Lepisosteus oculatus: one gene and its partners. The protein of the gene in region 1 interacts with the protein of each later gene in a pairwise test. Links are inferred from orthologs where the notes say so. Each region holds a gene or a part of one and is shown in the gene's direction. Other genes may lie near its edges. The genes, in order: alas1, zmat1, lonrf1 and dusp19a.

Region 1 (7,507 bases):
CCTAAGAATGAGCGCTCCTAAAACGAAGTAGCTGTGTCTATTTTAAGTAGCTGTTTCACACTGCCCCCTATTGCATGAACGGTATCATTATAAATGTCATATTCTTTTCTAAACTATTTCCTGTTTTCATTTGGAAAAAATCATGGCGTTCAGGTTGACTTTACCCATCATTCTGAAATACATATTTCCAATTCTGTCTCTAAAAGTCCCACAGCTCCCCTTTTTTGTTAAGTTCACATAATTTAAGTAACAACAGGATGAATTGGAGGTCTTGTTAGGTTGCTATTTGTAGCATTTTTTTTTACTTTCAGCATTATTATCTTAATCTTAATCTTGCCATCTTAGTTGTTGATTTCTTTACAGAAAGAACTTAGTGAGTGAGAATCAGTAATGGCTTTTCTGAAAAGCTACATTTTTCCACAGGCTCACACCAAGGATGTGCAGGTGTGACCCTGATCAGGTATGAGCTCCAAGCAGGTCAGGTGAGCCTGATCAGGTGAGCCTGGTCAGTACCTGGATGGGAGACCTCCTGGGAAAAACTAAGGTTGCTGCTGGAAGACAGTAGGGGGCGCTCACTCTGCGGTTTATGTGGGTCCTAACGTTCCAATATAGCGATGGGGACACTATACTGTAAAAAGGCACTGTCCTTCTGATGAGACCTTAAACCAAGATCCTGACTCTCTGTGGTCATTAAAAGTCCCAGGGCGTTCCTCAAAAGGAGTAGGAGTGTAACCCTGGTGTCCTGGCCAAATTTCTCATTAGCCCCTACCAAGCCTTCTAATACTCCCCATCTATGAACTGGCTTCATCACTCTGCTCTCCTCCCCACTGAGAGCTGATGTGTGGTGAGCGTTCTGGCGCACTATGGGTGCCGTCACAGCATCCAGGTGGATGCTGCACATTGGTGGTGGTGGAGGGGAGTCCCCATTACCAAAAAAGCGCTATATAAGTGATTGGATGAGTTACCACCACTCAAGACACACAATTACATTTGCAGATAACTCTGTTACCGTTAGTTTGTTGCAACTAGATGAGTGGGGCCATGGGCCAGTTGTGCATGAGTTTGCCACTTGGTGTGAACAAAGCTATTTGCAGTAGAAAACAAAGACATGGCTATTGATTTCAGGAAGAACCCTCAGACCCCACTCAAACCTGCATCAGGGGCAAATCAGTGGATCTGGGGGATAAATATAAGTATTTAGGAAGCGTTCTGGACTGCAGGTTAAATTTTGAGACAAGCAACAATTACATTTTCAAAAAAGGGTAACAGTGTTTATTTTTCCTTGAGAACGCTAATAATTTATTGTTAATCATGCATTACCAGTCTTTTATTTTATTCTGCTTTAACATTTGCCATGATCTGCTGAGGAGTAAGGACAAACTGGGGAGTACTTTCAGACCTATGTCAGAAAGTCATTGATGCCGATCTTTCGGCCCTATCCCATGTCTGTTACTTACAAGACTTGAGAAAACCATATCCCATCCTAGAAGACCCTTCACAATATTTGTTTAATGGATTATAACTACTCCCCTTAGAATGCAGATACAGATTTCCCAATTTAAAAAACAAACAGGTTCAAGTTTCTCATTTTGACCTGCCACCATAACCTTGCTCATGATTCTCTTGCTCATATTTATGTCTATCGTATGTGTGTGTTTTCTTTTTGTTGTCACCTGATTTAAAACTAATTGCCCTTTGTGGATAATAAAGAGTGTCTTACTCTCTCTAGGTGTAGAGGGATTAAAGAGCAAGCAGCAGTATTTCTGGTTTTATTCTGAAATTCACAGTGGATCACTGGACAGAAACTAAAATGGGCAATACAGTTTTAGTTAAAATCTGAGCAGCTGAGTTCTTAACATGCTGTAACTTGTAAACTTGTAACTTTTTTTGGATACACCAGCAAGCGCCGAATTCTTCTAAAGCTGGTAAAAAAAAAACAAAATAAGACTTGGTTTTCTGCAACAGACTGGGACAACTATGTATATGGATGTTAAGCATGATGTTACAAAGCCGGAAAAAAAAACCTTCCCAACACTGAACATGAGTTTGAAGCTTAATGATCAGGCTGTAAACCCAGTAATACAGAACTGTTGAATAAATCAATCAAACGATTTTAAGTATTTTAAGACTTTCTTATGAGCGTATTCTAAATGGCAGATATAATTTAATAAACCGTACAGCGTATTTGGTAGGAAATTCTCATTGCAATCCCCAGAGGGCGATCTTTGCCTAAAATAAATGTTTCAAATGAAGTTTCCGTCGGTATTAAACGCCAGTGTTCTTTCGACAAGCTTCCTGTCCCCACCACCCCTAGCAACAATTTTCTATACAAATTTATATTTTACTTTCAACCGTGCTGTGACGGAACAGGCGAGAGTTTAAGACACTGGCTGTCAATATTAATGGCACAAATCTTTCCTAACCGAACTGAAAACGACCACCGTCGCCCTAAGGCTCAGGAAGGCTGTTGCGTAGTGACGCAGAAATCTGGGTCAAGGCGGGGGCCGGCAGCTGAGCTCGCCGCTCTCGCGAGAGTGACGATCGCGCAGTTCCCTTAAAGCCGGTTGCGTGGCGATGCCCTTACGTTCGTCCTCAGTGCAGGGCAACAGATATCATCTTTTCCGGCGGTACAGCCTATTCAAAATAACAAGCCTCCTTCCCTTAAAAAAATAAGTTTTTCATTGTCATAGACACACGGGAAAAGACATACAGTTTAGCCTGAAGATCTCAGAGGTAAGAAAGGTAGGCGTTTTGATTTGTTAGATTTAATGTGGAGTTACTGTACTGTACTGTATTCTTTTCCGACTTGAAGGCCATTATGAACTTCTGTTTCCTGCTTCGTAAATGATTCATATATATATATAACGCCTTGGTAGCTTGTCATAAATGTGTAGTTTATGACTTTTTATGCATAAGTGTTTAAGAAAATAAAAGAATTTTGCTTATAGTCCGTATGTGGTACACGACTATTTACATGTGGTTAAATTATTCTTTAAAGAGTACTTAGTTTGTAAATAGGTTTTTTTGGGGGTAAATATTTTATCATTAAATCCATCAGTTGTATCCATTCGGCGTGCTGTTTTGTTAAATCACAGGGGGTCTCTGGCATCATAAATAGTTTTTTTAGCACCAGATTTATCAATATTCGGTGTTCAGTCTGTCTTGTTTTTTAACGTTTATATTTAGTCCTTTGTATAGCAAGTCGTACAACAGTACACTCCTACCTCGGATTTGAACCTGGGACCCCCTTGGTCACTGCACATGGCTGATGCACACAGGGAGTTTGGGAATAATCTGAAAGATCTAAAAGATACCACTTGGATATATTTACCACTTTTTTACTTATGTGAACTTGACCCGTAACGCATTAGAATTTGTAGATGTAGGTTATTAAAGGAATTTCTTTAACCAGCTGTTCTCTCAGCTTCACACCTATGTAGGAGTGACTTAGTAGCAGTGTCTAATCCACTGCTGTAATGGTCATTGGCCTGACATGCCCTGCCCAGTCCAGTTTTTCAGGTACCCCAGGAATTAATTTGACGTACCTCCAGGGACATGGTTGTGCGTGACCCTTTTTTTCCCTGTGATCAGAGGTGTCAGATGACAGTGATCCTTCCATACACAAGCCTACTTTATGTTTTTAAAAAAGAGACTGCGCTTTATTGAACTAGAATATGCAGGACTGAGAGCGCATCTTGAAGTTTGTGCCCTCTCAGTGGCCACAACGGTTTTCAGCTCATGTAGGTGCAGATATAAGTGTGTGGTATACCTGGGTATTATAATCGAGCCCTTAATTTGCCCATATCCCTCACACAAGAGACCCATACACCATACTGTAATTACAGTGCCTATTACTTTTGTGCAAATCTGTGGCAAATTACACTGTTTTTGTTTGTGGTTTCACTATGGATGTAAGGTGTACACAACAAGGAGCAGAGCACTTCCTTGCTTGGTATAAACCAAAATTTCACTTCCTTATCTTAAACATCCTTTTCTCATTATAGAAAGGTTAAGACTTTTTTTTCATATACCTTTTCCTGTTAGATGATGTGAAATTTGCTATGGTTGTATACATCTATGACTTAAAAATCTTTATCAGTTTATATGTTTTATATTTAATAATGCCTGTGAACTAGCTATGGTTATTGTTGGTGTTTTCTTAAATTTCCCCTTTAGCATTGAGTTTTAGGCAGTTTTTATAGGAAAATCGTTCCTTGAGATTTTTTCTACCTTTAAATTAAGAATTTCTTTCCTGTTTTGTTTTCTCTTTTAAACGGTTTGTCACATCATGTAAATATTGTTAATGTAGTCCTGGATTGTGGTTGTAGTCCAACTATGTCATTGTTTTTGTATCTGATACTTTTTGGTGTACTTTTGTGATTTCATAGTCCCTCCCAGAAACTTTCTGATCTAAGGTATGTCGAAACAGTTGATTTCTCAAGAAGCTTCTTACGTAGAGTTAAGTAGGTGGAGCTTTGTCATAGTTTTGCTTTGGGGGTTTAAAAGCTTGAGTAACAGACTGATGCGGCACCATTTACAAATTTTAGGAAAAAAGCAAAAAGCCATCAGCAGTATTAAAATGTTCCTTCCCAGGTATGTAAAATTTAAATTACATAGTATGATTTTTCTTGAAGCGTCTGTTTTTTGTATTTTAGCATTTGGGATTTCTAAGATACTCTATCCTGGTGTCCCTCCAAGCTGTCAGGTCCAGTGGTTGTTATGGGAATGTCAGTAGCAGCTGATACAAGGGTGGACTGCATCCATTTTTTGCAGTTTTTCTGTATTTGTGACAGAAGCCTGGATATTGCCATGTTCCGTACTCTGTTTGTGTTGGGCTCTCTAAAAAACGAATGGGAAACCTTCAGGTAGAACAGGGATGCAGAAAGCCTATCTTTTGGAAGACAAAATCCTGTTTCTGGAATATTTATTTTATCTGACACCAGGATAAAATAATTTTATCCTGTTAAAAGTTTGCCGTTTTGTTGTTACAGCATATTTTGTTTAAAATGAGTAGATCTCTGTCAAAAGATTTTTTCTTACTTTTTGGATGTATGGATGTATGTGGAGCACAGTAAAGATGTCTGGTGTCCAGCGGTCTTACAGAAGATCAAGAACATTTTGATACATGGGTTGACTGATGTGTCTTACAAATGATTAATTTCAGACTTAAATGCTTGAGTCAGGCATCCTGTGTTTTAAAGACTGGTAATTGTACTTACAATGAAAATGTAAATTATGTATGCGATTTTAGGTTTCTTATAAAATGTGAAGTATCTACATTAGCATTTGACACACAACTGTACTGTCTTTCTGGAATTATAAAAGGAGCAGTTAAGCTTTGTAAATCCTGTTCTTGTGATCAGCAGCTGAAGTGATGTTGTTTATGGTTCTTGAAGGCTAGTATGTTACAGTGTGGTTTGGGAATTAGTTTCGATAAGTTTAATAGAAGAGTGCGTGACTCTGTTCTGGTCACGGTGGCAAGGGATGTTTGACCTCTGGTTACTTGCGTGTTCTGTAGCAGTTTTCCGTTTTGCTGGTCTCGAATTAGACTGAAACTGCCATGGTTAATTATTTTTTTGGTATTTCAGGTTGAGAGCATCCAAGATGGACACCATCATTCGCCGCTGTCCCTTCCTGTCGCGGGTCCCGCAGACGTTCCTCCAGAAAGCTGGCAAGTCCCTGGTTTTCTATGCCCAGAAATGTCCTGTGATGATGGATCTGGCATCTAGGCCCTTTGCTCGTGCCCTTTCCACGTCTGCTGCGAAGTGCCAGGAGACCAAGGAAACCTCTCCAACAGATTCAGGTGAGCAGTTGATGTTGGTGGCAGTGTGTTTGTGTGTGAAACTACTGTGTACATTAACACATTTTAGTTATTTATATTGCATTTGAAGGTCATAGGGCAGTTTCTTTTGCAAGATGAAGCTGAAACAAATCATTCTGTGACGCATTCCAGTTGGTTACACTTCAGTTGTGAAGGGGGATAAAAAAATAGAAAATGACATGTAGTGAAATTGACGAGTGAGTGATCATTCTAGATTATCTAGAATATCTAGATTATCAGCGTTTGTTTAGTGGAAATGTGAATGTCCGTGCGGGGGACCGTGTAAGGGTAAAATCTAGAATGTAAGCTTTTTGCGGAGCTGTTTACGTGAGATTTGCATGTGTTTAAATTTAGCCTCCGGGCAGCCTCCCAAGCAACCCAGTCTGCCTCCAGGCCACCCCGTGCCCCCAGCGTGCCAGGCAGCTGCTTCCAAGTGCCCTTTTCTTGCTGCCGAGATGGGGCAGGGAAACAGCAGTGTGTTCCGGCAGGCCAGCGTGGAGCTGCAGGAGGATGTGCAGGAGATGCATGCTGTCCGGAAAGGTGAGGGTTCAAGTCGCATCACTGATTTCTATTGTTCTCTTAACTTATGCTCAGCGTATTTAATGCAGTCAGAAATTAAATAAAGATCTGCTTGATTGAGTGCCTAATGCAGTATAACTTGCCTCACCTTTGTTTGGAGGTATTTTGGCTTTGGTTCTACGTACCTGGTGCTGACAATTGGGGTTTTTAATTTTAATCGTACAAGTATTTTTTTTCTGCGCAGAGTTGGCTGAATCCCCTGTAAACCCAACTGTGGTCAACATCACCAAGGCGGATGGGGAGGACCAGAGCAGTCTCCTGAAGAATTTACTGAAGCAACGTCCCACCAGGGTCTCCCACCTTCTGCAGGATAACATGCCCAAATGTAAGCAAAACTATCCGATAGCGAATCGTCGATCATAATGTAATACTTATTTGTCACGCAACATGTCTGATCCGTCTTCTTGACTTTTATGATCACCTCTGAAATGTTGCCATTAATTGTTACTCAACAGCTATTGCAGATGTTAAATATAGAGAACTTTGGAAATGTTGCCTTTAAAAAGTTAGATGTTGCAAAAGGTGCATGATAGTCATTTCCTAACAACATTTTCTTCTGTCCCCCCCCCCCCCCCCCCCCTCCGCAGCAGTTTCTACTTTCCATTATGACAAGTTCTTTGAAAAGAAAATCGAGGCCAAGAAGAACGATCACACTTACCGGGTGTTCAAAACGGTGAATAGGAGAGCAGAGACTTTTCCGATGGCGGATGATTACTCTGGTTCGCAGGCCTCGAAGAAAGAGGTCTCTGTGTGGTGCAGCAATGATTACTTGGGCATGAGCCGGCACCCCCGTGTTGTTCGCTCCATCATGTGAGTGCTCCTAGATCTTGTCGGGAAAGATGAATGCATGTCCTTACGATTTGCTGATAAACATGAAAGTGCAAAGCACTAATAAGGATATTTTTATCCACAGGGATACTTTACGGCAGCATGGCGCTGGAGCGGGAGGAACCCGTAACATCTCTGGAACGAGCAAATTTCATGTAGATTTGGAGCATGAGTTAGCAGATTTGCATGGCAAAGATGCAGCGCTGCTTTTCTCCTCTTGCTTTGTGGCTAATGATTCAACGCTTTTTACATTGGCCAAAATGCTGCCAGGTATGCAAT
Region 2 (7,676 bases), on another chromosome or scaffold:
GCTGCATCCGCTGCCGCAGGTCCCACTCGTAGTCCGGTCCAGCCGGCGGTGCCGACCCGTCTCCGGGCGGCGGGCCGAAGACCAGGTCCACCGGTGTTCGCATTTCCCGGCCCAGCATGAGCGAGGCCGGGGTGCACCCGGTGGATTCCTGGACCGCGGTCCGATACGCCCAGAGCGCAAGGGGGAGGTGGCGGTCCCAGTCCCGTTGGTGCCGGGACACCAGGGTGGCCAGCTGGGTGGCGAGCGTCCGATTAAACCGCTCTACCAACCCGTCGCTCTGGGGATGCAGCGGGGTGGTCCGCGTCTTAGTAATCCCCAGGCGCTGGCACACTCTGGCGAAGACCTGGGACTCGAAGTTACGCCCCTGGTCACTGTGTAACTCCTCCGGCACCCCCAGCCTGGCAAACATCCCCTCCAGCAGTGCATCGGCCACCGTGGGGGCACTCTGGTCCGGGAGGGCGTAGGCCTCCGGCCACTTCGTAAAGTAATCCATAGCCACCAAGACGTAGCGGTTCCCGGCCTCGGTGCGCGGAAACGGGCCCAAAACGTCCACTCCCACCCGCTCCATAGGAGCCCCCACCTGGTGTTGTTGGAGGGGGGCCCGAGAGCGCTCGGGGGGACCCTTCTGCGCCACGCACACCGCACACGTTCGGCAGTACCGCTCCACGTCCCGGTGGCAAAGACCCCAATAAAAATGGCCTCGGAGACGCTGCAGGGTTTTTTTACCGCCGAAGTGCCCCACACCCGGTTGGCCGTGCACCGCTCGGAGCACCGCCCCGCGGAGCGACCGAGGCACCACCAGCTGCCACCGTACCTCGCCACTGGAGGGTACCCGCCACCCCCGGCGCAGCACCCCGTCCTTTACCTCCAAGGCCTCCCACAGGGCGCAGAGGGCCTTGACGGACTTCGGGTGCGGGGCGAGCTCCTCTCGTGTAGGCCGCACTCCTGCTGCCCTCCAGCGGAGCACCGGGCCCACGTCAGGATCAGCTGCCTGACGCTGCGCCAGGTCTGGCAGGCCCACCCCCAGCGGCCCCTCCCGGGCCGTGGCCGCGGCGCTCACCCCCGCCACGGTGCGGACAGCCTCCTCACGCTGCTCCCGCCGGGCGCAGTGATGGCAGTCCGCGGCCTCGCAGGGGCGCCGCGAGAGAGCGTCGGCATTGAGATGGCGAGACCCCGCACGGTGCACGACAGTGAAGTCGTACTCCTGCAGGATCTCTATCCATCGCGCCATCTGTCCCTCTGGCTCCTTAAAGTGGAGCAGCCAGGTGAGGGACGCATGGTCGGTCCTCAGCCGGAACCGGGTCCCGAACAGGTACGGCCTGAAGTGGTGGACCGCCGCCATCACCGCCAGCAGCTCGCGACGGGTCACGCAGTAGTTCCGCTCAGGCCTAGTCAGAGCCCGGCTATAGTAAGCCACTACGCGCTCCCCATCCGGCCCCTCCTGCGCCAACACCGCCCCCACCCCCGAGTCACTCGCGTCGGTGTCGAGAATATACGGCAACCGCGGGTCGGGGTAGGCCAGCACGGGGGCCCCCACCAGAGCTTCGCGCAACCGGCCAAAGGCAGTCTCACAGCCCGAGTCCCAGTCAAAACGGCGGCCCTTGTCGGTGAGGCGGTGCAGCGGGGCGGCGATGCTGGCAAAGTCCCGGACGAACCTCCGATAGTACGAGGCCAACCCCAGAAAGCTGCGGAGCTCCGCGACGGTGCGTGGAGTCGGCCAGCCCCTCACTGCGGCGACCTTACCTGGGTCCGTAGCCACCCCTCGCGGTCCAACAACATGTCCCAGGAAGGTCACCTCCCGCCGCAGGAGCTCGCACTTGCGGGGGTTGAGCCTCAGGCCAGCACGGCGGATGCAGGCCAGCACCGCCTGGAGGTTCGTCAAGGCCTGGTCAAAACTCCGTGCATGAACCAGCAGATCGTCCAGATATAACACGCACTGGTTCCGCGGAACCGATGCCAGCACCCTCTCCATCAGCCTCTCGAACGTCGCCGGGGCATTGCACAGGCCAAAAGGCATGACAGTAAACTGCCAGAGGCCCTGGCCGATGGAAAAGGCCGTCTTCGGGCGAGCATCGGGAGCAAGCGGTACCTGCCAGTAGCCGCAGCGGAGGTCCAGGGAGCTGAACCAGGTCGACCCGGTGATGTAGTCCAGGGCGTCATCTATCCTCGGCAGGGGGTAGGAATCTTTCCGGGTGACCTCATTCAGCTTGCGGTAGTTGACGCAGAACCTCCACGAGCCGTCTTTTTTTTTAACCAGTACGGCTGGCGCCGACCACGGGCTCGCGGAGGGCTCAATCACCCCCGCTGCGGCCATCTCCCGGATCTTTTCCTCGGCGGCGGTCCGCTTGGCGTGGACCATGCGTCCTGGTGGGATGCGGATGGGCCGAGCGTCGCCGGTGTTGATCTCGTGTTGGACCAGGGCAGTGCGGGTGCAGTCCTCATCCCTCGCCGCAAAGAGGTCTTCGTTCTGGGCGAGTAGCTGCTGGAGCCGCTGCCGCTGGTCCTGATCGAGGCCCTCGCAGCTCCGCTGGAAGAGGTCCTCAACGGCACGCTTCGCTTCCACGCAACGCTCGGCCCCCGCCGCCGCCTTGTCTGGCCCCCCGGCCGACTCAGGGGCAGGATCCGGCACGCTCGCTCCCCGGCTCGCAGGCCTGGTCTGCCCCGGCGACTGACGCCGCCGCCGCCGCCGCTGCCTCTTGTTCCCCCGGCTCCGGCAAGCCCGCGTCCCTCGGCCCTCGCCGGACCTGCCCTCCACCAGGTGCAGTCGCTCCCCCTGCCACACCAACTCCTGCCGGTCCAAGTCCAACCTGGCCCCCACTCGCTGCAGTAGGTCCAGCCCCAGAATGCAGTCCTCCTGGATGGGTGCAAGGTAGCAGGGGTGGCGCACCGTCGCTGCACCCAGACGGAAGGCAAGCACCCGTTTCCCCCGGACTGCAGCGAGCTGTCCCGTCACGGTCCTCAGCCGCAGGCTGGAGGCCTCCCATCCTGGGGGGTTGGTGCCCTCGGTGTCGGGGAGGACGCCCGGCCGAAGTAGGGTCACTGATGAACCGGTGTCGAGTAGGGCCAGGCAGGGTTGGTCCTCAATCCGGCAGTGGAGGTACAGGCCCCGGCTACAGCCGACTCGCCCCACGGTGGCGTGAGGGGCGCCGGTTTTTACAGCGCTCTCCGGAGCGGGGGTTGAGGTGTTCAAGGACGGCCTTCCCCGCGCTGAGCCGCCCCGTTCCCGTTTCCCGACGCCGATCGGGGAGAGCGAGGTTCGGGTGCCCGGCAGACCCGGGCTCGGTGTCCTCTTTTCCCGCAGCGGACGCAAATCAGCGTGCGGGGCTGTTCCGCGGCGGTCGCTGCACGGGCTGGCTCCTCTTCCCCCTCGCTGGATTCCTCCGTCGCCGCCTCGGTCAGCCGGCAGGGCGCACTGCGTCTGCTGGCGCTGCCAGTCACCCCGAACACTACCTCAGCCCGTGTAGCAAGGGCCAAGGCCTGCTCCAGCGATGTTGGCGCGGCCAGCTGCACGTGGCGCCGCAGCTCCTCGGGCGAGAGGGCCTTGAGAAAGGCCTGGAGAGCCATCTCCCGCTGCGCCTCCCGGGGGAAAGTTGGGTATCCTCGGCGGGCGAGGAACATGACATCCGCGGCGACCGGGCCCAGTCGCTCTCCTGGTCGGCGCCGCCGCAGGGCCAGCCTCTCCCGCATCAAGTCCGGCGCCTCCTCTACACCGAAGCGCAGCTGGAGGGCTGCTGCCAGCGCCGTGTAGTCGCCTCTGTCCTCCTCCGGGACGTCCAGGAGCACCTGGCAGGCCGCTCCTTCCAGCGCCGCCGCCAGGTGGCCGGCCATTTCCGCCCGGCTCCAGCCATTCGTCCGGGCCGCGAGCTGGAACTGCGCCTTATAGGTCTCCCAAGGCGCCTCACCATCGTAGCGACCTGGTCGCACCCGCGCCGATGGGTGTGGGAATCGCTGATCGGCTCCGGCAGGGAGGGCATCCTCTCTCCGGGGCGGCCGCCCCAATTCCACTGGCGGGACCACTACTGGGTAGCCCTGGTAAGGGCTGTGGCCACCTGTCGCACCCAGGAGTTGCTCAGGCTCCTTATGTGCGCCGCCGATGGGTTCTGCGTCTTCCAGCGTCAGCCGGCGCTTTACGGAATCGGGTAGTGTCTGCCACGAGTTGTTCATTCTGCCCGCTTCTGACACCAATGTAGCGTATTGCAGGTTCTTTCTCAGAACTAAAGAACAGTGGAGACGCGATTAACCAAGCACTGGCTTTATTTTACAACCACACCAAAACCAAACACAGGATCTACACAAACATGAGGAGTCTGACGAACACGTACACACATTTAGGGTGGTAATTACCTAACAACACACTCTTCTTTTACAGGACTACACAGGGTACTAGAATTACTAGGACATTATTTACACAGGCAGGGTCAGCCGCTGGTCATCGTGCTGACCCTCAGACTCTTCCCGGCTACCACTCCCAGCATGCCCAGCGGTACTACGAGCGCCTAGGGGCGCTTCCTCCTCACCACCAGGCGAGGGCGTTACAATTCAGTGCTCATGCCGATAAAGCTTGTTGAATTGAACCGAGCTGAATCAGGGTGCGCTGCACCCTCCAGCCAGCAGGGGGCACCGTGCTCTGCGGCGGCGGCCAGCCAGGCGGTCGTGTCCCTGCAGGACAGAGCAGTAAAGATGGAGCCGGGGATCACCTTCATCCCGCAGCTGGCGGAGGCGCTGGCGCAGCAGAGTCACTCTCACTCGAGCTCCGTAGCGGGAGCCGAGGCCCATAAAAACACACAAAACACCAATATTGCCCAGAGCCGAGGTGAGTTCAGAGAGAACGTGAAAGTGGAGGAAATAAAGCTTTGATCAGTGGCGGCCCCACGGCCGCGGACCAGGCCGCCCGTGGGAGTGGGTGGAGAGACTCGCAGGGGAGTGTGGAGTCTTCTCCCTCGGGCGCCGCGGTTTCTCCACAGACACTGCAGAGGCCAGCCGGTCCCGTTTCTCCCCGAGCCCTGCGTAGATTGAGTGGGTCCGATTTCTCTTCATTTTTTCTTTAAAATGGAAAGAAATGTTTGTTGTTGCTGCTGGTGCTGCTGTTGTCTGTCGCGCAAACCCACACAATCTGGACGCGGGGCTGCGGTCCGGGGGGGGTCGGTTCAGTGTCTGTGGGTGAGAAGTGCCCACGGCCTTCCTGTCATCCCCTGCAGGCGGTACCAGGTCGACATAACGACGTTAAAAACTTCACCGAAGCCAGTCGTACGCGCCCTCGACAGTATCACCTCAGGACGGGGTCAGGTGACCCAGCGGGTCGGTAACTGGTGGGGGCGGCGCTGGGCTGGGGTCCGGTTCGGTTCCGGACTCGGCTGGATCCGGCCCTGCCGGGGGCACCCTGACCGGCGCGGTGCGACGAAAGTTTGAGCTCTGGGGGAGGGGGAAGAAAAGACCAGTTTTCGCTAGTTCGTCTGTTCTCCTGACTCCAGGAAGGTGCCGGCAGCCCGGTGTTGAAGTTTTGAAGTCCTCGCACGAGGTGTTCATGAGGCGGTTTTTGGGGTGCCTGCCTAAATCCCAGAGCTTCACTGGGGTGCCCCGGGTCTCCCCCTGAGCTCCGTGAAGAAATGCCCGCGCATTGATCACGGTTCCGAATGAGGGTTCCCGGCGCTGCTGCTCGTGGGTCGGAACCGAGCCCCCGGCTGCAGGCAGAAGGAAGTAGCTGGTGTGCGATCACGCGTTTGTGTTCTCCGAGTGACTGTCCGAACTGGACCGTCGATGCCAGCAGCACACTTGGAGCCTAAAGGGGCAGGGCGGCCCTCCGCCCGAGCCCGGAGCCCCGGCTGGGTGTGAAGCCCGCCCGCCCGGGGGAAGACGTCTCCTCCGCAGTCTTGTTGGTCACGAGGGGTGTGTGCAGGCTGTGAGCGGTGAGGGGCAGCGTGTGGGCTTCCCCGCGCCCTGGCCGGCTGGGCGCAGGCTCTCGGGTAACGCTTCCCGCGGGTTCTCTTCGGCTCGTCCCCGAGCTCTTCGAGAGACCCCGCTGGGCCAGGAGGGCTGGGGGTTCGGGGGCGGTGGCCTGTCCAGGGGGAGTGTGCATGCTGCTCCACCCAGGGGTGCCCAGGCCTGCTCCTGGGAGGTGTCATTCCCACTCTGCTCTCGGTGACATAAACCAGCTGCTTACTGGTTTAACTGGGCCAGGGCCACAGCTTCTCTGAGCTCTGCGGGTGCTGTGGCTTTAATCAGCCCTTGGAGCCCTGCAGGCGCAGCGCAGCGCCCCCTCCTGGACCAGTGTGATAGAGCCAGCCTGACTCCTGACATACACACACACCGCAGGCGCAGCGCAGCGCCCCCTCCTGGACCAGGACTGGACGCCCCTGCTTTAGACGCAGCGCCCCCTCCTGGACCAGGACTGGACGCCCCTGTGTTTCTTTTTCAAACAGACCTTGAGACGCCGAATGGGCTGGAGCTCGTCCCCATGTGCATCTGATTTAGCTGAGTTAGTTTTGCATTTGAATTTTCCAAACATCGTGAATCAAATACAATAATAGTAAATGTTCTTCACCCCACTTATCAGTGGCCCCTCCCGATTCCCCCTCGGGGTCTCCAGGCACGGAGCCACACAGGACAGCTCCACATCCGTGTCTGGGAAGGCCAGGGAGAGGAGAGCAGAGGGTCCCGGCATGCCATTTTTGCCTCCCGAGTTTTCGATGTTTAACATGCGGAGACACAGGTAGTATTTCAAACTAAGTTCATGTAGCTCCCAGACTGGAGGTATAGGAGTTACGACAGTTTCCACTGATACTGCATCGCGTCCATCCTCGGATCGCGCGGTTCTGTTTTGTTTTTGACCTGACTGCCGGTAGTTTCGATGAACACTGGAATCTGATACTTCCGTTAGGTTGCGCTTCGTCATTCTCCAGAACATGACAAAGTAAGACAGGGCCGTTCTGCTCATTGAGCCCGTCTGTCGGACGGCCTCGCAGTTCTTACTTGTGCTAAGGTGTCCTCAGTTTCCTCGCTTCTTGTCAGGCGCCTGCTGTTTGTCACCCTTTATCTTTCCATGACACCTCCACTGTCGTGCAGCAGGACGGCACCGCGCTGGGGCCTGGGCTCGGTTCAGTTTGGATGCTCTTCTCATGGACGAGAGGTGACAGGGCCCGAGGCAGAGTCCCGGGTCAAGCAGGCTTTTGTTTACACATTTCAGCAGTCACCCTGTGTGGAGGCGCTCTGCATCTAACATCTGACGTGATGTTAATGAGGACCAGCTGACATGGAGCCATTTAGATCTGACTGGTAATTGTGACAGATTAGAAACTAGAACATAGGGACATGAGAAAGGATAGAAATGAGGTTAAAGTTTGGCCCATTTAGTAGTTAATAATTAATCCCATTATCTCATCCAGCTGATTTGTGCAAGAAGCAAGGGTATCAGCGTCAACAACATGGCTGGGCAGCTTGTTCCATGCTTCCACAACTCTGTATAAAGAAATACCTCCTGTTCTCAGTTTTTTAAGCACTTCTACATATTGTCTTCTTGGGCATTCTGGTTCATGTTTCAGTGTTCATTCCCCTGAATAGACTTTTACAGTGCCTTTGAGGATTTTGAATATAGTCTTCTCTCTGCAAGCTGAGATCAGGTTTCTGAAGACTGATCAGTGTGAATTAAAGATTGTTCACCAAACTAAGCAGCATTAATT
Region 3 (6,887 bases), on another chromosome or scaffold:
TGCTGTTCTATTGTTATTACTATGTGTTGGAACAAGACAGAGAGGCCAATATATCCAGAAAAGCAGTTTTTGACTTCCTGTGTGTATGGATTAGGATTACCATCTGTCGATGTCAACAGTGGACCTATTTACACAGGGCAGGTGTCGAACAATAGGTGTTATTTCTGAATGGCCAGGATGTTTGTCTTCAATTTCAAACTGCTAACAGACCTTCACAAACGGGTCCCCATATTTTTAGATGAGGCTGAATAAAAGAAACTCAGGAAGGAAGAAGAAACAGCCCAGCGCTGAGGCAGCGTGTCGCAGTAGAAGGAAATGGGAAAGACAATACAGTCCAGTAAATCAAGAGGGAGAAAAGTTCCGCTCACCCTCAAAACACTCAGCAGTGTCATATAGCCATTTGCATCGCAAAAGCAGATTTGCATCCAAGAAGGTGCAGAAAAGGGTTAAGAAACAAACTTACATCACAGAATGAAATGCATGTAAATGGTGATTAATAGCTCGATAGCGGTTGGTTCTCCTTGGGCTGTTGTCCATGTTTTCATTCCCAGAACACTACTGCAATTGCATGCTCAAGGGCTCCCTCTAGAGTCACACAGAGGAATATCACCTACTAGAACTGCATGTAAAAAGCACGCCCTGCCCTCCAACGGCAAACCTGCTTCTAGTATTTTCTTTGTATATTTTAACTGCATAATACCAGCTTGTAATGAATAAGGTCTGCTGACAGAAGTGATGTGCATGCACCTTTTACACTGCTGCACAAAGGTTTTAGACGTCTCAGGAACAGTCGGCAGTTGCAATATAAAGAATGCCTCATGAGCATCGCTACTTTTCTCAAAGCCTCAGCTGGTTTACTTCTATTATGACAACTTTGATTGTTATTCATACACATTAGCTTGGTTGATGTTAAACCAGATGTTTAATTTAGCAGTGTTTAATTCACACTGATTAGATCTTCAAACACAGGGTCAAAACTCAAGGTAGACCTAGATTCTGGAAATGGACAGGCACTACGAAGTGTTTTAGGAGCTAATGAACCACATTGATCAATCAGAACGAAAAAAATTAAATTAAAGGGTTGCTTTTTTGCACTACAAAAACACAGAACTATTAAGATTAACTGTTAGCTTAAACAAAATAGGTAATATTTCAGTGTGCTTCTGCATAACGAAGGAAGAACTTTGAATGAAAAAAGCAGAACAATTCAGAATGTCTCGAACTATGCACAGCAGTGTGTATAGAAGTGATCAATAGTATAACTTATCACAGTACTACATATAAGCATTAGCATATTTAATCTATGAATTATACCTAGAACCCCTCCTGAAAGACGCTTTCACTTTGACCAAACATCAACATTTACTTCAGTGAAAAAGACAAACAGATATCTTCATGCTCAATGTTTTCACCTGCTCATTGTCTGCAGAAGGTGCAACCGATTAAGATCCAATACTAAGAAATGAGAATAGTAATAATAACAGTCACAAGCAGACCTAGACACCAACCCAGACATGAGCAGGTGCACAAGCTGACTAGTACCCAGTGACTAGTGACAACACATTCAGGCCTCCCTGACAAATTCCATCTGACTTACATTTATTAATCATTTTATATTTCCTTCTTCAGAAACAATTTCATTTGGAATGTTTTCTCATCCCGCATATTGTATTTCAAAGAATGCGACTGAATCCAGTAAATAAAGACATGCACTCCTATTATTACATAACAGACCATACAAAATGTTATAATTAACTCTTTTCTTTTTTGTTTTTCTGAATGATAGGATTTCCTCAGTCCATCAAAACCGCAAACCATCTCCGAACGAACAAGCATCTACCACTAGGTGTCCCCATGACTCTGCCACCACTGGAAAAATACATTTAAAACCGAATAAAGTAAACTTCAGATCTAATAATCATATCATTATTTTTAATGTTATTGTTTTATTATTTTAAAGTATAATACTGTTACAAATGGGGGGGTGGTTGAAAATGGAGAAAATCATTAAGTGACCAAGTGGATAAATCAATTAGTTAATTAATCAGAATCCCCAACTTGTGAAGATTTTGGCAAGGATACACCAGAGAGGTTGGAATAGTTTAATTAATTTTTTTGTTCTCTGGCATAGCTTTGGTTGAAAAGACTAATAACTCAGGCACACTTGGTTATACACATATTTATTAAGAGCGACACACAGGGAATACAGACACTAAGCAACACATTACATAGACATACTACACACAAGTTTCCCTATGTGCAAATTTACAAAGAAGGCATCCCAGTGGCTTAACATTCTGATCTCCCAGAGAATCCCAGACTGTTAACAAGTCTATAATGTAATGCCTACAAAGGCCACAAATAAGAGGCTGCCTTCTAAACTTAATAGAATATTTCCCACAGTTATATCTTACCTTGTTATGAAAACCCAGAATTAACGATAACAGGCCAGAATAAATGGAAGCCTATCTCCCTGTTCTAAAATGCAAGCACTAAAGAGGAGAGGCCGATTTTAACCAAGGGATTCTTCACTCAGAAAATCTGAGTTCCCTAAAGACTACAGAAGAGCATGCTCTCTTGGCAAGGTTGAAATACTGAGCTTCAATCTGGTCTGCTCAGCTGATCTGGGACAAAGAGCTTTATATTAATATTTATTCAAAAGGGGCAGGGGGGCTCTTTTAACGCAGCAAGCGGTGCGCCGTACTGTAACGCAGACGGCCGACATGGCAGGTTGTGCGACCCGGCTTGCCAGCGCGGTGACGTCACCGCCATTCCCTGTGAATAGCAGGGACCGCAGCCGCCGGGCTGACGGGAGATCTCCCTTTGGCTCAGCTGGCTGGGTCCCTGCTGAGTGACGCTGGAGACCCGGGTTCGGGTCCCCAGCGGTGGGGGGCCAACCTGTGGCGGCAGCGAGGGCGCATACCCACGTGAGCCCGAGAGCCCTACAATACATTAATACACTACAAAAACAAACCAAAAACCAGAACAGATCAATAAAAACAGCAAACCATCCACAGAAGTAACTGGAAGTAACAGTGTGTAGTATTTGGGAAGGGACTAGTACAGTACACGCACATTTGTAGGGGAGGTTCTGTCCAACAGACATCGTGCTGATAGGACTTCTATTCCCTTCCATTTTGTCCTGCACAGTGGGCAGCAAAAATGTCTTCCCGAAGGCAAAAGTTCAAAAGACCGAAGAAGAATATGAGCCGAGTCTTTAATGATGGCACAGGCCTTCCTCGGGGTCAGCTGGTGCGGAAAGCTTGCCGATATCTTCAGAGCTGAGGTTTACAACATTTCGAAGGCGGGTCCATGTCAAATTCCACCATGAAGCTTCACGTGAGGCATGTAAATGCGCAGTCACGTGGGCTGTACCGTAGACGCTGCGCGTTAATCGCATCTGCTGTGGCAACGCTGTCTTTCATGGGCCCTGCCAACAAGCGCCCCATGTATCTGAAATTAAACAACTCAGAAAACAAGGCAGGCTTGGGAGTCACATTACTCTACAGGTTTCTACAGACATTGTGAAAAATACAGGGGGGTGGAACAGGGCAGGGTGAGCAGTAATTGTGCAGGGCAGCTCTTATCAGCTGGTGATATAACAGTTTTTGTCAACACTGGCAGCACCAGGCTCTTCCAACTTGAACATGAAGGCTGCCAGCCCCCCTCCTCTGCCTTCCTGGCAGTGCTGTGACAGCTGAGCCACAGTGGACGGAGTCGGGGGGGGGAGGGGGTGAGGGACGCCGAGCAAGCCGGACAGGGTACCCCAGAACCTCTGCACTCCCCCCCCACCCTTTCTTCTTCTTCTTCTTCTTCTTCTTCTTCCTCCTCCTCCCCCCCGGTTGTTATGAAACCCGCACGGCGAGGTTTTGTAACCAGGGCTCCCCCCGGCAGCCAATCACAGCGCCGCCCCGCGGACCACGTGACGGCGTTTTTATATAACGGGCCGGCGCCGGGAGGCCGGCCAGCGCGATCCGCCGAGGTGTGCTGCTGTCTCCGCGTACGTGTCCCGGTAACCTCCCGGGCCACAGCCCTGCGGACGCTCGTAAGGCGCTCACCCCGCTCTGAGCATGTCAGTCCTGAACCCGGCGGCGGACGAGGCGCTGGGAGAGAGCAGCGGCGGCGGCGGCAGCAGCAGGAGGCGGCGGCCGGGACCCTCTCTCCTCCTCCTCGCCGGCCCGGCGGCCGCGGACCGGGCGCACCGGCAGGGGCTGGTCCTCCGCCGGGCCGAGGAGCTGGCGGCGCAGGACCGGCTCAAGGAGGCCCTGGACGCGTTCGCCCTGGCGCTGAGGTACGGCTCCGGCCGGCCGGAGCAGCTGGGCGCGCTGGTGGGCTGCGTCCTGCGGAACTTCAAGAAGGCGGAGGCGGCCGGGGAGCGCAGCGCCAGCCCCGCCGCCGAGCCCCTGGACTGTCCCGGCTGCGGCCGGCTCCTCTCCGAGCCGGTGACCGCCGCCTGCGGCCACACGTACTGCCGCCGGTGCCTGCAGCGGGAGGTGGTGGCCCGGTGCCGGCGCTGCGCCGAGAGGCTGGCGGCCCGGCGGGGCGACGGCGGGGCGCCCCGCACCAACGTGGCGCTCTGCCACGTCCTGGAGAAGTGGGTCCCGGGCGGGCCGAGCCGGGCCCGGCTGTGCGCGGAGATTGAGGGGCTGTGCGGGCGGCGGCGGTACGAGGAGGCCCTGGCCGTGTCCAGCGGCGGCCTCAAGGCAGGTGAGCTCAAGGGGCTGCTCTCGGCTCACACTGGCGCTGGTGGTGGTGGTGGTGTTGTTGTTACTGGGGCCTGTTCGCGGATCTGGGGTTGGGGGGAGTGTGTCGCTTCTCGGGGCGAGAAGGGGGGGGGACGGTGTCGTGGCCCTGGGATGGGGGGTGCGAGGGAGACCTGCTGACCGAGCCCCAGAAACTGCACCCCGTCTCTCCCCACGGGTGACCCCGCGCTGACCCCGCGTTGTGTAACTCCGGCGGCGCATGCGCGGCAGCGGCGGGGGTGTGCTGTTGTGTAAGCGGGGTCGTGACCCGAGAGAGGTGGTTTTATAACCCGCGGGGGGGGGCAAACACACTCGTGTGCGGAGTGCATGGGTGCCCGTGTGTTTCCCGGCAGCTGCTTGGGTGCGGGGTGGGAAACAACACGTTTCCCGTGGAGTGGGTGGGGACGGTGATGACGTGGTGTGAGGTGTGGTGAAGCGCTTTCCCGGACCACGGCTGCCACACGGGACGTGGTCGCCGCTGCGGCTGGCAGGAGGGGCGCGAACGCCGTGCTTCTGTGCGTGGGGCCGCTCTGGGGGGGACGGTGTCTCCAGTGGGGGCTCGGATGAGCGGACTGCAGCTGCCGCGTGTGAAATCCAGCGAGCTGGAGTGTAGAGAGGCTCGCAGGTGGAAGAGCACGGGGTGGACACGGGCCAGGGCAGAGGACTGGGAACACGGGCGTCACCCTGTCTAGAGCTCAGAGGGAGGAGGGTCACCCTGTCTAGAGCTCAGAGGGAGGAGGGTCACCCTGTCCAGAGTGCAGAGCCCCGCTGCAGGGAGGGGTCACCCTGTCTAGAGCTCAGAGGGAGGGGGGTCACCCTGTCTAGAGCGTGGGGCCCTGATGTCGGTATCCTATTTCTAGTAGTTTTTTGCACCATCCTCATGGTTAGCTTCCTGCTTTCTAGGTTTCATGCAGCCCGACCTGAACCCCGAAGGCCAGACTTGTTGTCTCTGTGCCTTGTGTCTCTTTCTCCTCTTGAGGCAGGGCCCCCCGTTACTCATGTTTAGTTTGTCAGAGGGAGCTTTAAGATGTATTGTTTTACTGGTGTCCGTCAGCTTTCAGTGGGACAGATGCATTATTTCAAGCTGGTCCCCCAGATCTGCTTGCACATGATTATTGTGGCCAGTAAGTTTTATCTGGCTAAAAACAAACGACAGATGTTGCATACAGTATTGAGAGAATACAGGGAGGAAGTACTGCAAATCTGTATGGAAAGGTAAGGGTTGTGCAAGCATATGTGGTATTTTATCACTGGTGTTTGTCACAGGAAATTGAAGTTAATAATTAAATGAAGTGTTTTGGTCTTATAACAGCGTGCAACAAAATAATAATTGCTTACACTTATATAGCGCTTTTCTGGACAGTCCACTCAAAGCGCTTTACAGGTAATGGTACTCCCCTCCGCCACCACCAATGTGCAGTGGGGAGGAGAGCAGAGTAATGAAGCCAATTCATAGATGGGGATTATTAGGAGGCCATGATTGATAAAGGCCAATGGGAAATTTGGCCAGGACGCCGGGGTTACACCCCTACTCTTTTCGAGAAGCGCCCTGGGATTTTTAATGACCACAGAGAGTCAGGACCTCGGTTTTACATCTCATCCGAAGGACGGCGCCTGTTTTACAGTAGAATGAAGTTCTAAGGACAGGCTGTGATGCCAGAAGTCAGGCTGAATCTCGGTTTCTTCTGCATTTTTGCACTGTCACAACACTGGAGCACTATTGTTTGTTTCCAACACAACTGTTGATGTTGATATTTAGCAGATGGCTTTGTGCGAGACTGCCTGCACAGAATCATCACAGTTTGTGCAATAGCTTGTAATGGTCAACTGTCACTTGGTCAAAGTGCGGCAGTCATCATATAATTGAAAACAAGTATTACAACAGTTGACAAGTTTCCACAGATGTGGATGATAAAGTATCTATCTGGGCAGCCGGGCAGTTCCTGCGCGAAGCAGTTCCACTCCTTAGTCATGGCTGATGAATTGACAGTAAACACCCTGGCGATGCCTCTGTGGATGTGAGGCGGTGTAGTCCTGATGAATTGCAGGTGTCGGGCTAATCTGTGAAGATGAGTTCTGGGAACACGCTGGAAGACTTCCATAGTCCTCTCCCGGCGTGTCGCAGTTCTGGGGTGTGAGAGCCCA
Region 4 (7,657 bases), on another chromosome or scaffold:
AAAGTTTTATGAGCAAGGTATTAAACAAAAGTACTGTTTTTGGTGTTTGTCCTTACATATTTGAAAAAACGTATTTTTTTTTTTAATTTTCCTAATTTTTAATCAAGACCTTATTCAATACGCATAAACCGGAAATTTAAAAAATTAGGAAAGCTCTCAAAGTCAATATCAAGAAATTCAAAACTGACAATCTGAAAAATAAGCATAACATGGATTGCCTAATGTGTTCTATTAGCTTGGATCCCTTTTGGCTGGAAAATGTGCTACAATTATGTGATTTCTGCATGAAGCTTGCATACAGTGTCTGTGATGCTTGTGGATTATCCAAATCTGCAGCTGTCTACTAGTTGACACAGTATGGTGCCCAAAATGGCAGAATATGTCAACCAATAACATTACTAAGGTAAATAAAACAAGGAAATGTGCTGTTTCTTTTGGCATGGCATAAGCTTCAGACATTCAGTTTTTTAACTTATCAATCAAACAGCAAGACCAAAGAAGATTTTTTTTAACCTTTATGCATATAGGTAGCCTATGTACGCAAAAGCCTTTAACTCACAAAACATCTCACTTTGCTTTATGTAGTCTTTTGACCATTTGCATTCCAGTAAGAGTAAGATGTGGAGTACTATACTAAATGTGACTATTAAAAAAAATCAACCTCATATCTAAAACAATGTTGCAAAAGATGACTGGTAAATATCTGGATCTATGCTTTATTTTGTTATACTGAACATTAAATATGTGCCTACTTTTTCGACAAACAATACATAATATTAAGAAAAATAACTTCTGACCAAACAATAGAAAAAAGACCACATTGATTATTCATATAGATTACAAGTGCCAAAAATAATGAAAACATTACAATGAAAACACACAAAATATCTCTGTACATGTAGGCTATCTTTAGATAAGTTGTTTCAATCACACCCTTTTAAAATACATTTTGGTCCACTTCACATGACCACAAACAAATGCACACAACAGAACCTGCTAGGATATGTACTCTTTTCTGTAAATTGCAGTTAACAGGGACACGTTTTCCCCCTAGAGGATCTGTAGAGGAACATTAGCTTTTACCTCATTCATGTATTTTATACTTTTATTCTGATGATTTAAACCAGACATGTCAAAACTAAAATTCCTGGCTTTGTTCTGCAAAGAAGTTAGAAATTAGGTTTTGACACTAAAACTGGACAAATTAGGGAAAAACACTTATGGGCCAAAAAAGAAATACAAAAACAAATAGGACACTACAATACAATACAGGTGTATTCCTGAAGTTTCTGCAAGTTTCCAGACATAAAAAAACCAACACCCTACATATGTGCTGATTCACTCACATTAAGCGGGATAGAAGTATTACCTGATGTATGTCTGTCTTCCTCTTCTATCAAATGTAAATTATCTTCCTTTAAGCCCTACGCCATTTATATGATTATAGTGCTTTTTGTTTTGTTTTTCAATTAAAAGTATTGAGTAATATTCATGTTAAATATAGAAACGGCCCACAAAGCTTAATAAATATTTCCTGTATTTCATGCATTTTTTCCAATGGTATTTAATCCAGAAATGCTATAAGGCGTTAAATCAATTCTTATTTTATAATTCAGCAGCTTTCCAAAATACACTGATACAAAATATTGAGGTGCATTGTTAAGAATCTATGGGTAAACTACAGCTTTAAAAAAATACACGGTTAAGTGTACATTTTATTAATTGATTCCTCTTGCACTAATATATAACTCGAGCGATTTAAAAAATCTGTCACCTACTGCCAGCCATGAAATTTAACAAAAACAGGACGCAGTCTAACGCTTTCCTCCGCTGTCAGCTCTCCACCAATACGGCTTAGGGCACTAAAATCACCAACGAAGGGCAATGTCAATTTTTATACAAATAAACTGACAAGTTAAAATGTTACCGTCCATTTTTTTTTTATGGAGCCCACATTAATGCTACATTGCCGTGATGAGCTTACCAATCAAAACTATCACACAACCACACAGCGAGAAACAATTATGTCGCGATGTCTCACGCTGCGGTCTCGGTGCAAACAAGTTGTTTCACTCTCGCTGCCCATCGCTCCAAAGCTTCACAACAACTGGAAACGCCAACCATTCTTCTACATGCTGACGTGCTACACAGCTCGCTATGTACTACAAAACAGCGAAGGGGCTTTTAAGCTCGCGTTTTAAACACCATACCGCGGAGAATGAAAACACTCTGCCAGCAGGTGAAAAAAAAAAACCAAAAACAAAGATCTGCCAGATTTAATTCACAGACTGGCCGCCAATAACAAGAATTGAAGTAATTTCCTCTTTTCAGTACACTGCTTGTGTTACATGCCATTCCAGGCCTTGGGTGCATTCTTCCTGTCCATATCCCCATTCCCAGGCTCTGCAGAGTCATGTTGCAATGCCAGCTATGGCTTCCAAACGTCTAGGAAACAATGATGCTCACAGAACACTTTACCGTAAGGACTGCGACCCCCCCGAAAACAAGCACCCTGTGCATTATAACGCCACCTTACCTTTTTGATGTTATAAATGCGGGTGAGCATCCCGATTCCCCTGTCGTTGAGGATGGTCAGTTTCTCCGCCAGCTTCTGCTGGCTTGGCTGCAGCACACCCCTCGACATGCTGCTTGCTTAGTGTTTCACAAAACGGAGCACGCCGTAAAACCTTCGCTGTGTAGTGTGTGATTCGGACCTATTATGACCCCGAGCGTCTTAGTGTTATTTTCTTCCCATATTACGGATAAACAGCTTCGCAAAACTCCCCCCCGCTCTGCCCTCCGCTGTCTCCCTGTTTTCTCTAGGTGTTGCCCTGACTCTCAGAACGAGGCCGTTTCCTGCAACACCGACGCATGTCACGTGACTCCCATTGCACTGATTTCCGCCTCTGTGGTCCAAATTGACAGCCTGTTACTAGCACAGTGTTTTCATACCGCAGATAATGATTCGAATTTTAAAATGGCCCACTACTTCTTAATTTCAGTAGGGATTATTTATACGCTGACTGTGGTGCTTGTGTCCGTTACATTGGCTTCTTCTCTGGGAGATGTTCTGTTTTCCACCAACACAATACGCGTTTATCCTGAGCAAAGCAACTACTGAAACTCCGAGGCACTTTATTTTCCTAAATGTCAGTAGAAGACTGCTTTACAGACTTACCATTATCATATTTTTTATTGAATTCTTTATCATGGGTCAAGTTATGCATACACCTTTTTAAGCATTTTCTAACCACTTTATCCAATACAGGGTTTATACAGAGTTATGGATGAGCTGGAATCTATACCAGCAGGCAATGGGTATAAGGCAGAACACATCTAAGATACTGTAGGATGCTAGTCCATTGCAGGGAACGCACAGACTCACACCAGGAAACCATGCAAACACATAAACAGAACATACAAACTCCACACAGATAGCAACCCAGGTCCAGAATTGAACCCAGGGATCAGGGATTTAAATATTGTACATAAATAAACTTAATTGTGAATATATCAATATAATAAATACTAAAAACTGCAAACAAGAATCTAAAATTGAAGTTACTTTAAGTACATACCCCCCACACACACCGCTATGGAAAACCTAATTTATTAAGGTGCACAAAGTAATTAATTTAATGCAAATACTCAAGCATCATAAACACGTAGTTTTCCAAAAAAACACAGGGATTATTTGACCCTATTTAAATAATAACTGCATTTTTCATGATGCTGGTCTCTCATCTGGTGGGCACCCTTTTCAGACATTACAAGGGATAACACTTTATGTACTCGCCATGATCTCCAATCATGTGATAATGTACATTATCAAATTCATATCAAAATACATGTACATTACTGTACATTACTTCCTGCTTTATTTTCTCATATCTATATCATTAGAAGAGTGTGAATACTTTTACAATGCCTCATGTCTCACAAAAACAATATGCAGTTGTATATAACAACAGTAGTATATCACAAAAACAGCGAAATATATCTAGTTTAAACATAAAATATGGTATATGTCATCCAATATTCCTGAGTATATTTGAAGTTTATAATATTTAAGTTTATAACAATAGAATATAATAAATAGAATAGATTTATAAAATCTATGTGGGATATCCTTTATTTCAAGTTTTTTATCTGTGCTATCTCCACTAAAAATAAAAAAAATATTGATATATTAATACAAAAAGACTGTTTTCATCGCGTCCTTGATTTTGATACTTTTTTTTTCATTTTATATTCACCACTAAATTAATCAGTTTTACCCATTCTGTCTAGGTATATTTACATTACACTTGAATTATTTGTGTGCTAATATAATGTTTAATATTTTAAAATATGACGAAAGATAACGTGATTCTAATAGAGGGGTCGTTTAATGTGTTTTGTGTTTTCTAAAAAAATAACACGTTTTTCTTCTAAGAGGAAGCTCGGAATTATCCAGCCATCCATTTTCAGTAAACGTGACGCCTAGGAAGTCAGTTCTTGGGAATGAACACTAGCCTGTTTCTTCTGTGAATGAAGTACAGTACGCAGCAATTGGTGATAACCGGGGTGTACGCTGCCATAGACTTCCGCACCTACAGGTGGCGATGTTTTAAAGTACTACATGCTCCCAAAAATATATCTAGGTTACAGATGGTTTCTTCTCGGTTTTCAGGCAGTTGATAGCAAGTGATGAGATCTTCGGTGAAGTACAAGAGCGTATTGGAATCCCATTGCGGCAAGTGGACAGCTGAGTTACTGTAGACTTTTTCTGCTTTGAACTGTTCCTGTAACACACATGTAATGCATTCGCTTGCTCAAGAAATAAAGGCTTTTTCAAAGTCGGCACTGAAAAAGCAATGTACCAGGGTAACGACTTTAACTGGGAAAAGAATAATAGAAACGTGGAAAGACTCCACTGTGCAGGTGGTTGAAGAAACCGTACAACCCGAAGGTGCTTGTGGATATGTTCAGGATCTCAGTTTGGATCTCCAAGTCGGTATCGTCAAACCTTGGTTACTGCTTGGTGAGACAAATAGTTTTGCATTGTCAAATGTCATTCACACAGATTTAAGAAAAAAAAATTGCACTTAGCAGCAAAGCTGTCAGAATTCATTTTTGAACCACGTGTTAAGTTTTCAATTCCATTTAGCTTAAGCGTTCTGAAGTTTTACTATGGATGGGGGAAATGCCTTATTATTTTAAGAAGTTAGAGCAGCTGTTGACTTCAGGGATAGCAAACAAGGCACTGCAAGTAAGAAACGCTTCTGGAAGCACAAATCAGTTACTGTATATTAAGATACATTGATGTTTAATTTCAGTGTTGTGTTTTTGGTTATGAACTTTGGTATATGCTTAAAGTATTAATTTTAAATGAGTCCTTTATCAATGAATAGTTAAAAAATGTTTTTTATGGTACTTTCTACACTTGTTTTTAATACAGTCCCCTTTATCAGAGAAGCTTGTGAATTGCATATGAGATGCAACATTTAAAACATGCTCTGTAAAATGCTTGTCTTTTGAGGCGGGGCTCTGATTTTAGATTATTTAAAGAAAACTGTAGTTCTGTTCAAGCACTTAATATGGATGGATGAGTTACGCTAAGTAGCATACATGTCCACTCTCTCAGGTTCCTGTAATAAGCCAACCATCTTCCCTTCTAGTGTTAAAACACTAGAATAATAACTGCAGTATTAGTGTGAAAATGACAACTATTATTAACTAAAACATTGATGTCAGTGTTCTTTTTTGTTCTAGCCTCACAAGATGTTGCCCAGGACTTTGATATATTAAAGAAATTTAAGGTATTATTTATTTTCAGTGTCTGCTGTATGATATTTAAATTTCTTTACACATTGGCCTTCGATGAGTGTATTTTCAGTAACATTTACTGTTGATCTTTTTCAGGTTACACACATATTGAATGTTGCATATGGTGTTGAAAACACTTTTCAAGATCAGTTTGTTTATAAGCAGCTTTCCATACTGGATCTTCCAGAGACTGTCATTACCTCATATTTCCAGGAATGTTCAGAGTTTATAGAGCAGGTCAAGGCACAGGTAGGCCTTATACTTTTGTTGCATTAAAATAGTATGTTACTTTACGAAACAAAAGGGTGTCCCCTTTGATAGATCTCTAGATTGTAATTTCTTTTCACAAACTTAAGTTATATTTCATTTATTTTAATTTAAGAAAGTATGTAACAATTTGTTCATCTAATCATACTGCTAGATTAGTTAAAAAGCAAGTAAGGAGTATATCATGTATTAAAAAAATTCTAGGAGACCTGTCAGCGTGTTTCCATACATCCATCCATTTTCTAATTGCCTCAGGGTTGCAGGAGAGCCAGATCCTATCCCAGCAAGCAACAGGTACAAGGCAGACTGACACAGACACGCACACACTCACACCTACTGTAAGGCCCATTGTCCCAGACATCAATTGACCTATCAGTTTGTTTTTGGACTGTGGGAGGAAACCGGAGCCCCCAGAGAAAATGCATGTGAATGCGGGAAGAACACCCCACGCAGATACAGCAGGATGCCAGGTCCGGAATTGAACCAGGGTCCCGGGCAGTGAAGTAGCTGTGTTAACCACTGTGCCACCATGCCACTTGTTAATGTATTTAATGAAGAAATCTGATAATCTCGTTAACTAAATCTTTGCAGTAATTTCCTGAGTGGTCAGTTTTAGGAGACTGCCTATTTGATACCCCGCAGTCTGCTGGTGCAGAGCATTCCTTGCACCTGATATCAACATGGCAGTGCTAGTTTTCATGATCCATTATTCAGTAGGTAGATAACGATCATATCTCTACAGGCCATTGTATCTCATGCAGCCTTGTTGCCAAACCAGTGTCATGGTAATCAGCTGCCTTACTCTATTGCATTAAAGGAACTCACGGAGGTACAGTATATAATTACATCATGTATTAAAAATAAGTTTCCACTTTACACTTAAAATTGATCTGTCACCATTTTCGTTTGCAATCCAATTAATTCTGACATCATGTTTTATTGATTATAATTACATGGAATACTAGTAATAATGAATAATAATGTCTTACACTTATATAGCGCTTTTCTGGACACTCCACTCAAAGCGCTTTACAGGTAATGGGGGCTCCCCTCCACTAGTGTGTCATCTTATTGTTCTCTTGCAAATGTAGAGGTTTTCTAAAGGCTAATTTTTTTCAAGTCCTTTTAGGTATAATAAAATATAATCTATTTCAATGAAATTGTGTTTTCAGCTAACATATGTGTTGAAAACACCTTTTCTTAATATACTGTATAGTAAGTGCCAAGTCTATGAGGAAACAAATGCAACTTCATTAAAGAGGTTAAAGAAAATTAAGAGAAGATAACCAGTGATGATTTCCTTTACATTTACCAACTCTAACAAACAAAGACAGGGAGAGAAACTTCATTTTTATTTAATAATATGGCTATGTATCATTTTTTGCTGTAATTAGGGAATACAATATGCTTGCTGGCATAGGCATAGGTTTTCCTGTGATCCTGAATTGGAAAAAGGGGTTAAAAATGGATGGATGCATGTTTTTGACCAACACATCTACTAAACGTAGATGCAGTATGAAGGTATTTTCACGATTTGTATATGGTTCTGGATCTTACTTCATGCCTCTCATGAAGGTTCTAC

Evidence for each region.
Region 2: the proteins of alas1 (region 1) and zmat1 interact in a two-hybrid assay, tested with the Homo sapiens proteins (2 studies listed by BioGRID). The two-hybrid records come from large-scale screens. The link is inferred for Lepisosteus oculatus from reciprocal best matches to the Homo sapiens genes ALAS1 and ZMAT1.
Region 3: the proteins of alas1 (region 1) and lonrf1 interact in binary tests that used the Homo sapiens proteins (3 or more experiments, as listed by UniProt). The two-hybrid records come from large-scale screens. The link is inferred for Lepisosteus oculatus from reciprocal best matches to the Homo sapiens genes ALAS1 and LONRF1.
Region 4: the proteins of alas1 (region 1) and dusp19a interact in a two-hybrid assay, tested with the Homo sapiens proteins (3 studies listed by BioGRID and IntAct). The two-hybrid records come from large-scale screens. The link is inferred for Lepisosteus oculatus from reciprocal best matches to the Homo sapiens genes ALAS1 and DUSP19.

Annotation. Positions count from the first base shown.
Region 1 is NC_090699.1:61,335,502-61,343,008, reverse strand, and holds the start of alas1 (5-aminolevulinate synthase, non-specific, mitochondrial), read left to right. Parts: upstream 1-4,489; 5' UTR 4,490-4,522; coding exon 4,523-4,593; intron 4,594-5,588; coding exon 5,589-5,803; intron 5,804-6,175; coding exon 6,176-6,361; intron 6,362-6,584; coding exon 6,585-6,725; intron 6,726-6,987; coding exon 6,988-7,210; intron 7,211-7,313; coding exon 7,314-7,498; intron 7,499-7,507.
Region 2 is NC_090698.1:74,562,823-74,570,498, reverse strand, and holds the start of zmat1 (zinc finger matrin-type protein 1), read left to right. Parts: upstream 1-4,654; 5' UTR 4,655-4,680; coding exon 4,681-4,813; intron 4,814-5,217; exon of another isoform or gene 5,218-5,298; intron 5,299-7,676.
Region 3 is NC_090696.1:77,520,759-77,527,645, forward strand, and holds the start of lonrf1 (LON peptidase N-terminal domain and RING finger protein 1), read left to right. Parts: upstream 1-3,879; 5' UTR 3,880-4,070; coding exon 4,071-4,707; intron 4,708-6,887.
Region 4 is NC_090707.1:18,462,050-18,469,706, forward strand, and holds the start of dusp19a (dual specificity protein phosphatase 19), read left to right. Parts: upstream 1-4,645; 5' UTR 4,646-4,800; coding exon 4,801-5,023; intron 5,024-5,754; coding exon 5,755-5,801; intron 5,802-5,904; coding exon 5,905-6,057; intron 6,058-7,657. Other genes in the region: nckap1 (nck-associated protein 1), read right to left, coding at 2,537-2,644.